Xenopus tropicalis: one gene and its partner. The protein of the gene in region 2 purifies or fractionates together with the protein of the main gene of each other region. This does not show direct contact. Links are inferred from orthologs where the notes say so. Each region holds a gene or a part of one and is shown on either strand. Other genes may lie near its edges. The genes, in order: magi1 and rapgef2.

Region 1 (7,411 bases), on a different chromosome or scaffold from region 2:
AGTTTACTATTGAATAAACCAAATAAAATTAGCAAACTCAGTACATGTCATTCATGTCAGTCATTTAATGCCCACCTACTGACAGTTAAACACTATTCCCATACAGGTGAATGCTGGAGTTGCCATAACAGGAGCACAGGTAACCGCAATACAAACACAAACAGACACATTTTGGGGCACAATGAGCAGTCGCAGGGGGTTTGTCCATCTGATTTTTTCCCCCCCAGCCTCCAGTCTTCGTTCCCAGCAGTCAGAAGGTGTCGGAAAGCACTCGGATGGAGCGCAGCTGCACTGGGAAGCAAGAAGGACTTGTGACCCTTTCACACTCTACTTGGTTTTGTTTGTACAGCGGATCCATATTAATTCTTTGGAACCAGAGAGGGAGAGACGTTTGGGGTCACTGACCCTTCCCTATCGCACACCCAGCACTTTGTTTACTTAACCCAAGAGCCAATAATCACAAGCCAACCAAAAAGATTGTTTATTGTCAAGCGACCCATACCCCATAAAACTCAGGAAAGCAAATTTATAAAGGGGAACTAAAGGTTCATATTATTACGCCTTTGTTACTTTTCAATTTCATTTGTTTACACAAGCTTTAACAGCCCTATTATTCTGAATTCTATGTATAATAACGCTGTCACCGGCAGTTTCTATTGAAACAAATGGCAGGACGTTGGGACAAGCACCCAAACTGGGCCCTATGTTCACTGACATCAGGTGGGTACAGGGGCTACTACAGAGGGTGGGCTTCCAAGATTCCATTGGCCGTGAAGTGGGTGGGCTTTGCAAGTAGTGGGTGGGCCTTGCAAGTAGTGGGTGGTGCCTATTAGGGCTACAAAATACTTGTTGCAAGGGTCCAGGTAACAGGTGAAGTAATAACTGCCTCCCCCAGGGGGGGGGGGGAAGAGCCCTCCTTTTACAGTAATATAGGGTCCCATGATTACTGATCGTGGCTCTGCATAAGCCTAAAGGCAATAGTCAACGGGCCGATTAGTAGCCGGCGACCGCTGGCAACTAATCTGAAACCAGAAATGCCTGCAATTCACTTTATTTCATGTGGAAAGGCATCTCTGGCAGATTAGTCGCCTGTGGTAGCCAAGATTTAACCAGGGGCTACTAATCTCCATGTGGGCCATCACCCTAAGGGTGAAGACACACGGAGCTACTAGTAGCAGCTACTTGTCACGGCTACTAAAATAGACAATGCTGAACATTTATTGATAACTGTTTCTACGTGTATTTTACCAGAGGCAATTCTCAGTATTGTCTATGGGAGTATATTTTCTGGAGTTTAGTAGCTGCGAAAAAGTAGCTGCTACTAGTAGCTCTGTGTGTCTTCACCCTAAAAGATTGGGGTTTTTCTCTTACCTCTTGCACTCTCATAACTAGCTTAAACCTCCAAAAGCAGCAGTGCCGTGAAGCAAAACAAACCTTTCAGATAAAGTATTTGATCCTCATTTATAACCCAGTCTGTATCTACTGTAGAATCTCTGCCATAAAGCAAAACAAAACTGCTGGTTTTTTTCCCAGGCAGGTTATGGAAACAATAGCCACGGAGAAACACGTCACTGTGCCAAAGTCACAAAAACTTTTTCTTTTGAATATTACATAATTCTGCGTATTGTTTCCAGGTATGTGCCGACACCTTTGAAGCCCTTTAGCATTTAATGAGGCCTTTCATACAGTCGGGCTAATGGTAAAGCCAGTGACTCCATTCTCACAGATCAGAAAGCCAAGGTGCGCTTAGTGTGTCACGTCTAGAACACAAATATTGACACAGGAATGTTTTCCACCACGCTAATGCGAGCACAATACGACCCAACATTTATATATAAGCAACGCGCGCAATAAACCGAATCACATGGGGCTGCTGGGCGAATGAATGCAGGCGTGAATGTGAATATGAACAATATCCAAATGCATTGATTGGCTTCAGAACACTAGTTCTCACTAAAATAACAGGAAAAAAGGTAATTTTATAAATAGCAGGTTTTACTGGAAATATCAGCAATGATAAATCTAAGGGAGATTCCCCAAACGCATTCCACTATATTCCAGCGGAACGACTTCTACGCTACATTATTCATAGAGTGCGCCGAGTGCCTTATTGCCCCCGAGGTGATACATTGTATCCGTGTGTATAAGCAAACACGAGGCTGTTACCAGGATCTAATACAAGGGTACAGGGTAGGAATGTTATTATCCAGTGGCCGGGGGGGCAAATTTAATTCCAATAGCCGACCGGCTAACTGGGCAGAACTTGATGATATACAGGACCTTATCAGCACACAGAGTGCCATGTTCTGCAAATAGTACTCCTGCCCACGGTCAGGGGGGGTTGGAATAGAATGGAAATATAACCTGATAATACCGATAGGGGGACGTCCAACTACAAATCCCATCAGCCACTGAGGCTTCAGGTGTTAGTGGGAGTTATGACAGCTGGAGGGCCACAGGGTCTGACTAGGGTCCCTGAACTCCTTCCTATGTAAACAAAATAGTGCGTGTGTATATCACCATGACAAACACGTACGATATATCTGGTCACGTGGCCGGCTGAAGGCAAGAGGGTGGCTAGTGGAAGAGAAAGTACAAGCACATTGATAGTGACTAGCTGACGGTCTCTAACGTAAACATGTTGTTGGCCAGCAGGCCGCCAGTTAATGAGTGAATGGCCAACTGATAAGGAGTTTGCGGCCTAAAGAAGATGGGTTAGTGGCCAGTTTGTCAAGTGATTATTTAACAACCAGGTGACCAGCTAACAGCTAGGCAGCAAGTAGCCAGGAGGCTATCACTAAGCTAGTAAGAGGCCACTTGATGACTAGTTGCCAGGACACAAATGACAAGCTCATGTAAACAATGTGTGATTAGGTAAGTAATGACTATGTAATAACAACTGCTAATTATATAGTGATAAATTAATACTTATTGACGTGACAAGCCAGATGGTCAGTTGCTGGCCAGCCAAGTAATAAGGTGACCAATGGAACAGCGAGTTAGCAGGTGGCTCTGGCCGATGAAAAGCGACCCAGGGACTAGTGTGCAGTTGGGGGATAGGTAGCCAGAAACTGGCAAAAGGCTAGGAGACCAATTGGTGGCTAGGAGACCAATTGGTGGCTAAGTGACCAGGCAATGGCCACATAGTGACCAGTCAATTGCCACATAGGGCGCAGGTTGCCAACTGAGCAGGTGAAAGAAGTAGCCCAACAGCTAAACAGGTAGCCCAACAGCTAAACACGTAGCCCAACAGCTAAACAGGTAGCCCAGTGACCAGCTAAACAGGTAGCCCAGTGACCAGCTAAACAGGTAGCCCAGTGACCAGCTAAACAGGTAGCCCAGTGACCAGCTAAACAGGTAGCCCAGTGACCAGCTAACCAGGTGACCCCTAGTGGCCCCTCCCCCTTACCTTGTCTGACAGCAGTGATGGGGACAGGCTGCTTGCTGTTCCGGACCAGTTCCAGTACATCGTATCGCGGTAATCCAGAGACGGGCACCCCGGCCACCTCCAGCAGTAACTCCCCCTCGGCCAGCTCGCCATCGCTGCACCTCAGCCCCTCAGCCGCCCCCCCCAGGTACAGGAACTCCCCATCCTCCGCGCCCCCCAGCACCGGCAGCCCCGGCTCCCCCGGCTCCCCCACACAGCTCACAGCGCAGCGGTGCACTCGGCTGCTCCAGTGGTTCTTCTTCTGAATGACTTTGGCCATGCTGAGCCCCCGGCAGCCCCCCGGCTGCACTCACACTGCCGCCCCCCGGTCACATTCAAGCCATCCCAAGGCAAACTTTGTATCCCGGCAGCCCCCGCCTTTATCCTCTCATACTGAGCCCACAAAGTTTCCCTCTGGCCGGGAAGGAGGCAGCCGGGAAGGGGGCAGCGCCGGCCGCTTCCTGCTCTCACTTCCTCACTCTCCGGGAGACACTGATACAAAGTATCCGCTCTCTTCCCATTCCATCCCGGGCAGGGCAGCCTCCGAGCCGAGCCGCGCCGCGCATGCGCAACACTCACCTTCCCTCCCCTCCAGCGCTCAGTAAGAATCCCAACCTGTGGCTCTGGCTGGGCAGGAACTGCAACTCCCAGGATCCCCTTACGGCCAGCTCTGGGCGGAGCAGGAAAGCTACTCATTATAGCGCACCTTAATCTATTTTGGGGGTTGGTAATTTCTTCTGATTGACAAAGAACAGCAAAGAGAAACCTTAACTCTGGGATATGCGGTCCCCAGCCTTCCAGCTACTGAACTACAACTCCCACTTCGGCTTTAAATAGAGCTCAGTCACAGATTATAATTTCCAGACATAGAGCAGCAGCTTGTTGTTTTCTTGTGATTTAAGTTGGACTGGGGCTGTGGGATAGCAGGTATAGTAGGGAGAGATGGTGCCTATAGTAGCAATGGGGGGATAATAGCCTCTGGGAAGGGACTGGGGCTGTGGGATAGCAGGTATAGTAGGGAGAGATGGTGCCTATAGTAGCAGTGGGATAATAGCCTCTGGGAAGGGACTGGGGCTGTGGGATAGCAGGTATAGTAGGGAGAGACGGTGCCTATAGTAGCAGTGGGGGGATAATAGCCTCTGGGAAGGGACTGGGGCTGTGGGATAGCAGGTATAGTAGGGAGAGATGGTGCCTAAAGTAGCAGTGGGGGGATAATAGCCTCTGGGAAGGGACTGGGGCTGTGGGATAGCAGGTATAGTAGGGAGAGATGGTGCCTATAGTAGCAGTGGGGGGATAATAGCCTCTGGGAAGGGACTGGGGCTGTGGGATAGCAGGTATAGTAGGGAGAGATGGTGCCTATAGTAGCAGTGGGGGGATAATAGCCTCTGGGAAGGGACTGGGGGCTGTGGGATAGCAGGTATAGTAGGGAGAGATGGTGCCTATAGTAGCAGTGGGGGGATAATAGCCTCTGGGAAGGGACTGGGGCTGTGGGATAGCAGGTATAGTAGGGAGAGATGGTGCCTATAGTAGCAGTGGGGGGATAATAGCCTCTGGGAAGGGACTGGGGCTGTGGGATAGCAGGTATAGTAGGGAGAGATGGTGCCTATAGTAGCAGTGGGGGGATAATAGCCTCTGGGAAGGGACTGGGGCTGTGGGATAGCAGGTATAGTAGGGAGAGATGGTGCCTATAGTAGCAGTGGGGGGATAATAGCCTCTGGGAAGGGACTGGGGGCTGTGGGATAGCAGGTATAGTAGGGAGAGATGGTGCCTATAGTAGCAGTGGGGGGATAATAGCCTCTGGGAAGGGACTGGGGCTGTGGGATAGCAGGTATAGTAGGGAGAGATGGTGCCTATAGTAGCAGTGGGGGGATAATAGCCTCTGGGAAGGGACTGGGGCTGTGGGATAGCAGGTATAGTAGGGAGAGATGGTGCCTATAGTAGCAGTGGGGGGATAATAGCCTCTGGGAAGGGACTGGGGCTGTGGGATAGCAGGTATAGTAGGGAGAGATGGTGCCTATAGTAGCAGTGGGGGGATACTAGCCTCTGGGAAGGGACTGGGGCTATGGGATAGCAGGTATAGTAGGGAGAGATGGTGCCTATAGTAGCAGTGGGGGGATAATAGCCTCTGGGAAGGGACTGGGGCTGTGGGATAGCAGGTATAGTAGGGAGAGATGGTGCCTATAGTAGCAGTGGGGGGATAATAGCCTCTGGGAAGGGACTGGGGCTGTGGGATAGCAGGTATAGTAGGGAGAGATGGTGCCTATAGTAGCAGTGGGGGGATAATAGCCTCTGGGAAGGGACTGGGGCTGTGGGATAGCAGGTATAGTAGGGAGAGATGGTGCCTATAGTAGCAGTGGGATAATAGCCTCTGGGAAGGGACTGGGGCTGTGGGATAGCAGGTATAGTAGGGAGAGATGGTGCCTATAGTAGCAGTGGGATAATAGCCTCTGGGAAGGGACTGGGGCTGTGGGATAGCAGGTATAGTAGGGAGAGATGGTGCCTATAGTAGCAGTGGGGGGATAATAGCCTCTGGGAAGGGACTGGGGCTGTGGGATAGCAGGTATAGTAGGGAGAGATGGTGCCTATAGTAGCAGTGGGGGATAATAGCCTCTGGGAAGGGACTGGGGCTGTGGGATAGCAGGTATAGTAGGGAGAGATGGTGCCTATAGTAGCAGTGGGGGGATAATAGCCTCTGGGAAGGGACTGGGGCTGTGGGATAGCAGGTATAGTAGGGAGAGATGGTGCCTATAGTAGCAGTGGCGGATAATAGCCTCTGGGAAGGGACTGGGGCTGTGGGATAGCAGGTATAGTAGGGAGAGATGGTGCCTATAGTAGCAGTGGGGGGATAATAGCCTCTGGGAAGGGACTGGGGCTGTGGGATAGCAGGTATAGTAGGGAGAGATGGTGCCTATAGTAGCAGTGGGGGGATAATAGCCTCTGGGAAGGGACTGTGGCTGTGGGATAGCAGGTATAGTAGGGAGAGATGGTGCCTATAGTAGCAGTGGGGGGATAATAGCCTCTGGGAAGGGACTGGGGCTGTGGTATAAGAGGTGAAGCAGTTGGGATAGTAGCAGGTTACACTATTACACTTTATATCAGTATATCAAGCCCCCGTAGGTGGACTATACCATCCCACTTTCCAGGGTCGGACTGGGCCAGTGGAAAAAAACCCAGTGGGCCCCACTGGCCAAGCCCGATCCCTGCTGGGCACTCCCCCAGGCTGCTGATCTCCCTCCCCCAACGTGCTGAAGGTAAGTTCAGGGGGGTGGCGGGGATCCCTGGGGCAGTAGACCCGGTGTGCCCTGCACCCCCCAGACCCTGCCACTTTCAGCTGGAGGGGACAAATTGCCATTAAACTAGACAAGTGCTGTGGGATGTGACCTTCTCGTGTAAGTTCCAGTTCATATGTAACAGACACATCAATATTCTGTACATTCCATGACCCGGCACCCTCTCATGCACTTTCACTGTTGCACTTTCCGCAGTCCATTCCAGTAATGATTGACGTTTCTGCTATAAAAAGATTTCCCACAATCCCTTTTAAAGGGACAGTACCTGGTAAACTAGCAGTTGTCTCACAATTCATCAAGTCTACAAAATCTAAAATGCCCTTTTTTTTTTTTATTTTTTAATGTGTAGGAACAACATGAAATGTTACACTTTTTTGGGGGGCACCCAACTCTGTTCCTACATCCTGGGTGCCACATATCAGAGGGCTTAAAAAGGGCAGTTCATCTTTAACTTAACTTTTAGTATGTTATACAATGGCCAATTCTAAGCAACTTTTAAACTGATCTTCATTATGCATTTGTTATAGCTTCAAATTATTTGCCGCCTTCTTCCAACTCTTTGCAGTTTTTAAATGGAGGTCACTGACCCCGACAGCGAAAAAACGATTGCTCTGTGAGGCTATAGTTTTATTATTAGTGTTACTTTTTGTAACTTTCTTTTCTATTCAGGCACTCTCCTATTCATATATCAGTC
Region 2 (7,401 bases):
TTTCAAAAATGTCTAAATAAACACAAAAGTTAGGATGCTGTGTGAAATATAAAAAAAACAAGAATGGGATAATTTGCAAATCATTTAAACTCACTTGCACATATTACAAATACAATATATCCAATGTTGAAACTAAGAAATGTTATTGTTTTCAGAAAAATATCTGCTTATTTTGAATTTGATGCCCGCAACAGGTTCCAAAAAGTTGGGCATAGGCCATGTTTCTCACTGTGTTACATCTTTTCTTCTTTTAACAACACTCTGTAACACTTTGGAAAATGAGGAGAACAATTTCTGTAGTTTTTGAGAGTGAAATGTTGTCCCATTCTTGATTGAAATAGGATTTCACCTGCTCAGCAGTTTGGTCTCTCTGTTGTCATTTTCTTAGTTTCATAATGCGCCAAATGTTTTCAATGGGTGACAGGTCTGGGCTGCAGACAGGGGACCACTTTAGCACCGAACTTTTTTAATACAGGACCATGCTGTTGTAACACGTTATGTTGTTTTGCTGAAATAAGCAAGGCCTTCCCTGATAATGGCTTTTCCTGGATGGCAGAATATGTTGCGCTAAAACCTGCATGTATTGCTCAGCATTAATGGTGCCTTTCCCTGTGTGCAAGCTGTACTATGTGCACTAGTGCACCCCAATAGCATCACCGATAGTGGATTTTGAACTGTGTGCTGATAACAAGCTGGATGGTCATTCTCCACTTTAGCCGAGAGGACATGGCAACCACGATTTCCAAAAAGAATTTCAAATTTTGATTCGTCAGACCAAAGAACGGTTTTCCTCAGTCCATGTTAAATGAGCTTTGGCCAAGAGAAATACACAATGTTTCTGGATCATGTTTATAAATTATAATTATTAACATGTATTTATAAAGTACCAACATATTCCTTATAATAATATGTTTTCTTGTTGCATGGTAGAGTTTTAACCTTTTGTTTTTGGAAGTATTTCTGAGCCCAGGCACTGATTTCCACTACAGAATTGCAATGCTGCCTGAGGGCCTAAACATCACACCCATCCAATATTGGATTTGAGCCTTGTCCCTCGGGTAAATTGATTTCTCTAAATCTTTAAATCATAGTAGGTACTGTAGATAATAAATCCCAAAATTCTTTGCAAGATTATATTGAGGAACGCTTTTCTTATAATGTTGCAGTATTTGCCAGCACAGTGTATCAAAGTATACTTTAAATGTCCCTTTAAGTGTGTGCCCCATGCACAAGGGCCATGTAAGTGACACAAGTTCTGCAGCTGCAGTTCCTTTATAAATAAGCCTCTCTCACTGGCATATCAACATGGGGTAAAATAACTCCCCTTGAAACTGAGGCATAGCAGCTGGGCATCATTCTGCCATGAGCATGTAACTAAAGTGTACCAAGCGCTGACAGTGACCTGAAGACCTGTATCCTGTATACTTTATAACATATGGCTGCTTTTTGTTGTAAAGTTTTGGCCCTCAAGACACTGGTTTAGGACAGACAATCTCCATCTATTACCGAATAGCTATTGAGGTGAGATTTAGGTATGAAGGCTGCTTTATATGCAGTGTTAGACTGGCCCACCAGTATACCAGGAAACCTCCCGGTGGGCCCAGGTGTCAGTGGGCCCTCCTGCTCTTGACCATTTGGCCTGTTTCATGGTTTTTCCCTATTTTTGAATGGGAAGAAAGAGTAGAAATAGATGGAAGAATAGATGCTAGCATGTAAATTAAAGAGACTAGGAGAATAAAGAGGTTGGGTGAGGAAAGGAGGAAAAATAGTTTGGAGAGTGAAGCTAGGGTCCAAGGTTTTCACGTGGGCCCCTGGGGTCCCAGTCCCATACTGTTTATATGAAATGGCTGCCAAAAGTCTGACATGGGTTGTTTATATCCCAGGTAATGTCTCTGCTTTACTAATAGCATTTACACTGCCTGCTCTCACTATGAAATGCATTGTTATACCTATGACCATTAATCGTGTCATAAATGTTGTGTGGCACATTATGCCCATTACAGTGCAATTCCCATGTGTGTCACGGTAAAGAGTTGCTAGAAATGGTTTTATAATGGGTTTATGTCCTTTAGGAACCATACAAACCCATCAAAACGACACATAAGCCACTCGCACTTACATATTGTAGTAATGCAGGCTACATGGAACATGGTTAACATGTAATACATAATAGCTGCGGCCCCGTGTATATGCTTCAAGCTGCCCAATTCCCACGCAACAGAATAAATAAAGCACCGTGTCTGTGTGTGTGTGTGTGTGTGTGGGAGGGGGGGGTCTCCAGCAGCAAATTTCCTATAAATGAGATAAGAAAAGCCTAAAATAAAGAGCAGACGGGCCCAGACAGCCGCCAGGGGGAAGCAGAGAGCTGGCGAGAATCAGTGCAAGGAGTACAGGAAGGGGAAGGAGGAGGAGGAGGGTGCAGACCTCTTACTTCCACACCCTCTTCCTGCCCTGTGATGCTGCTGCTGCTGCCGCCGCTAGTGTGTGCCCCTCTCACCATGGCTGCAGCACTAAGTGTGAGTCCCCTGTGTGGGTACCTGGGGGCTGCCGCCCTCTGCCCGACACATAAGTGACAGCTTCGGATTTGCCTTTTTCCTTTGTTGGCTCTGGATTTACTTTTGTGGGCACAGAGAGAGCGCTGGGAAGCGACGTGGGGTTAATGTTGCCCGGAGTACCCCTGGCTCGTACTTTGTGTCGCTGGGAGGAGTGAGAGTTTCTGCACTGAGCATCCGAACAAGGCGGAGCACGGCTGGCCTTCAGCCTCCCAAGGGGGGGCACCATCCTCCTGCTAAACATCGGCGGAGCGCAACCATGGCGTCCTATGTGGATAACAGTTTCAGGCAGGCTGTGATGAAGCCCCCGGCTGACAGAAGCGCACAGGTATGGGCACAGACTGGGTGATGGTGTGTGAGAAGCTTGGCACCATGGGAAGTTTCCTGCCCCAGTGCCACTGAGTAGCTACTAAAGTACCCTTAGGCCTGTCTACTAGGTTTCTGTCTATAGGGATTGGATGGGTCAGTTCACACTGAGCTGTTAAATCTGCTTTGAAGAGTGAGACAAAGTTGCAGCAACTTATGTTTAGTTTGAGTAGTTCAGACATCACTTTTCTTCATCTGCAGCAAATGTCTGGAAAGCAGTGCAAATGCTATAGTTTCCTTACCAGCAATGACACCCAGTTCATTCATTTAAGCAGTACATAAAAACCCAGTTGCAGTGATCAGGGAATCTCCTTTTATTGCGTTGGTGTTGGTTTGGCACATGGGGACCCTTGTAGTATGTAAAGGTATTCAAGCAGGGTGTGGAGTTTCGCTGTGTGTTGACAGTTCGGGAAATGAGTAGGGCCACTGCACTTAGAGCAAAGACACATGGAGCTACTTGGTAGCAGCTACTTGTCACGGCTACTAACCACCAGAAAATACCCTGCCATAGACCATACTGAGAACTGCCTCTGCTAAAACACGTAAATCATCAGTAAATGTTTAGCTTTGTCTATTTTTGTAGCCGTGGTAAGTAGCTGCTACTAACATATAAAAGCATCGTCTGATACGGTCATGTGATACAGGGAATTGTAGTTCAGTAGCAGTTTCAGGGCAACCAGTTGGGCATGCTCCCTTTCTGAATGGAAAGTATGTCATTTGCAACTACTATTGCAAAGGGGAACTAGTGAAACACTTTCTTTGTGGCTGCCCCTGACAACAAAGATAGAACAGGGAATGGGCTTGCATTCACAGCAACAAAGCTGAACAAGCGAAATATAATAAATAAATTACCCTCTTCTCTTTCATTATGTGACCCACAATTGTTAATGTTACAGATTTTATTAGCTTTTATCTAATTATATAGCCCTAACTAACTTCTTGGCGCTGTAGCTATGATAATAGGTAATGTGCTGTGTTTCCCTTTATTGTTTTTTGCTTTAGCCAGTGCCTCACTACTTTTATGAACTAGTACTCCAGGAGGTCTAGCAGGGAATTCTGGTAGTTGTAGTCCAACCACAGCTAGATAATTAACACACACCCACCCTGCTAAATGGCTTGTGCCTGAATATTTAGAGAGTTCTGGGTAGAAGTTGAAGTCCATAATGTGCGGAACATAATTCAGGATGACTGTTTCCCAATAAATTGGACAATATTTTCAAAACCTGGTTTATACATTCATTTTACAGTCTGTTCCTGCCAGCTTGTGGATTTACTAGTGCTTGTGCTACAGAAAGCATGGTGTAGTCTTGCCCTCACCTCATTAACGCTACTCTCCTCCCTGAAGGAGTAACACTATGGCATAAATAATGCAGGGTGCCAGCGCTGGCACTTCCAGCAGGCTTCATGGCTAGATTTCACATGACATCACTTGTCACAAGGTTGCTTGTTGTATGCATTTCTCTGGGCTGCATGTAATCTGATTCCAATGACAGCATTCTCTCTGCCTTGTCAAGCTGGAATTTAAAGAAAGAAAAAAAAAAAATCCTTGTTAGGGGCCGGTGTAATTGGTCACACACCTCTTAGGCGAAACAAAAACTTTTTTCATGACCTTAAGGTTTATCTGTTAATGGTGAATTGTTGCTTTGAGCCCTTTTAAAAGCAAAATGTCTGTGTCAGAGACTGTATACAGTGTATAATACAAAGGTTAATATTTTATCTAGTACAAGCTGGTGTGATGCAGTAATACATATAGTGTGCTGATGTGGTAACAGGAACTGTATCCTGAAGGTCAGGTCTGCAAGTGTAACTTAGTCCCCTGATGTGACCCTGTGTATAGTAGCTGGTTCTAAGGAACACGCTTTGGTACAATGTTGAGCAGCTTAGAGTAAAGGCAATAGGCTTCCAGCAGGTCTCTGCTAAACAGTAACTTGCCAAGGGAACTAGAAGTCCTGTTTCACTCCTGTTGGACTTTGCTATCCATGGGCATAAGGGATTTAGTCATTTAAATAAATTGCTCCTATGTATACAGGAAATATTCTCTAATGCTGAGTAACAGCAGATGAATTAAGCTTTATATTTACCTTTTGTAAAGTGTATATGTTTACTGCTTGAACGTTTGAAGTGGACTTCCTTGTGTCATATTGGTTTCCTTCCCGTTTTAGTTTATCATATGATTTCTTAAGATTCAGGTTTAGTGCAGTAGCTACTCTCACAGCTGGCTCAATCCTCATTTATCTAAAGCTTGTCCATTTTTAAGCTTGTCCGAAATTGGAAAAATCCACCCATTTGGCAAAGGCAATATCCTTCTCACCACAGTGGTAAATGCAGGGTGGGGTTTTTAAACCTGCCCAATTAATATGTGACTGGGTTTTGGCCCCATACACCAGCAGATCAGCTGCTGACTAGTTCTAAAGGGAATGAATTGGCAGCTTAAATCTCCCCCTGTATGGCCACCTTAAGATTACTGTTCAATGGAGAGTAATGTAATATTTAAAAAAAAAAAAACAAAAAGACATGAATACATTAAAAACAAATCTGCTATGTAATAGAAAATGAAATCCATATCTATTTATGTGACAGTAAATGGGAAACTTCTTGTCTGATGCCTTCTCTCCTTCAGTCTCTTTGCTTCAGGGCACCTTTACCTTGTAGGTGCTGAATAAGGCGTGGTGGCTTTGTGCTTCTAATCCTTTCCTTAGGACACATTGCCAGTATATGATCTCAGGATATTCTCTCAAGGGCTCAGCAGGAGTAACCAAATGGATGGGTGAATCTGACAGGTCCACTTGTGCTTCTGCTGCATGTGGATATTCTGAGAACAGGCACTGTTTTGAGGGGGTAGGGGAGAGGGAGGACAGGTTTGGAAACGACCAACTGAGTATGACTGTTTCAGTGTCAGAGATGGCAGTACACATCTTGATTCCTTAATTTTACTATTACCTTATTATAGTTATGATATTCTGTGCAATAAAGTAACAGCTGCTCATTTACAGAAAGGTATAGTGGCAGGAAGCACATTGTGACCCCACTCACAGCTGCCTGGGGTACACCAGAAATGTACCAAGCAAAGTGTTGTGCCCATCCATCTACTGCCTTCCTAATCACTGTGGGAGGAAAGGCAGTTATGTAGTCAAACTCCCAGTTAATTATTCTACATAACAAACCTCTATTCATTATATGACTACACTGGCAACCCAGAGGTGGGAAGAGGAGCTCATTCTAATGAGCTGTTATATTATTGCACTGGGAGCTAGAGTGCCAAAAAATCTTTTTACTACAGAGCATCTGCTGATTCTGTGAGATAAATAACCCATGTTCTGTATTTGATTGAATCACCAAACCAACGTTTTCATGCAGAAAGACTATTCGGAATATGTTTTTGTTATGTTATGTTCAAACCTAGTTTATTTGGCACAATAAACATTCATGGTAATTTTTAGAATTCACAACCTTAGTTTTTTAGTGAGGACACAAGAACATATGTTTTTCAGCAATATATACTGTTTTCCTGCCTATAAAAATGTGCTGCATTTACCCCTTTTAGTCAGATGACAGCTCTTCAGATATTGTTTTTTATGACTTCCCGGTAATCGTTGACTTGATTTATTGGTCGTCCTTTAGTGAGGTCTGACTGTAACAGTCTGTTTTATTTGTTGGTACTTTATTTTTGGAAATGTTCCTGCAGACTCTACTTTAGTTCCTATATAAAATATTAAATACTCACTTTGTTTAAACCCCTTCCCCCCTTATTTATTTAATTTTACTGATTCTTTATTTGAATGATCCATTCAGTAGATTGTGGCAAGTAGTAGCAGCTGTTTTTTACTACAGGGTTTAGGAACAAGAGTGCAATTAATTGATTTCTTAAATACTGTATGTGGGTGTTTCAGAAGGAGACAGCCTTTTTTCCCCATAATCATAGCCTTTACTTTCATAAGCTGCACTGCTTTAAATAAGATTATCAGCAATATGTCTGCGCATAATTCCCTGGATTTATATAATCCTCTGTTGACCAAACATACACTGTAGAAAGAATGTATAAGGTAATTTTGTTTGCATTTCTGTAATATCTGCATGCCACTCTGTAAAGTTGGTTGGTGTTACTTATTTATTTATTTATTAACTCTGTGTAATAAAATAGAACAAGACTGAGATGCTGAAGTGCTGTTCCTAAATAATACATTAAGGTCTGTATGTCAAGGCGTTGGTTTGTATGGCCAGGAGTATTTACCCATGATTGATATTTTGTATGTTTTTTTGGCCATTCCTTGTGTCTCTTTACTGTTTCTCCAGCCAGCAGAACTTGAGGGTGTATTTATTATTGTAATGGTAAGGCTTCCAAATGAACCATGGCTATTTCCTTCTGGAATTTGATTTATTCTTCTATATAAATCAGGGAATCTCTAGTTGATAGTGGCTTCATGATGGTAGTCAATATATGTGTAACCCTAACATTCCTGTATAATTATTAGAAAATAAATAC

The links.
Region 1: the proteins of rapgef2 (region 2) and magi1 purify together in Homo sapiens (co-immunoprecipitation; 3 studies listed by BioGRID and IntAct, with this or other methods). This does not show direct contact. The link is inferred for Xenopus tropicalis from reciprocal best matches to the Homo sapiens genes RAPGEF2 and MAGI1.

The regions. Positions count from the first base shown.
Region 1 is NC_030680.2:143,757,747-143,765,157, reverse strand, and holds the start of magi1 (membrane-associated guanylate kinase, WW and PDZ domain-containing protein 1), read right to left. Parts: upstream 3,984-7,411; 5' UTR 3,708-3,983; coding exon 3,410-3,707; intron 1-3,409. UniProt on the Homo sapiens protein: Plays a role in coupling actin fibers to cell junctions in endothelial cells, via its interaction with AMOTL2 and CDH5. May regulate acid-induced ASIC3 currents by modulating its expression at the cell surface.
Region 2 is NC_030677.2:52,810,877-52,818,277, reverse strand, and holds the start of rapgef2 (rap guanine nucleotide exchange factor 2), read left to right. Parts: upstream 1-2,448; 5' UTR 2,449-2,811; coding exon 2,812-2,880; intron 2,881-7,401. UniProt on the Homo sapiens protein: Functions as a guanine nucleotide exchange factor (GEF), which activates Rap and Ras family of small GTPases by exchanging bound GDP for free GTP in a cAMP-dependent manner.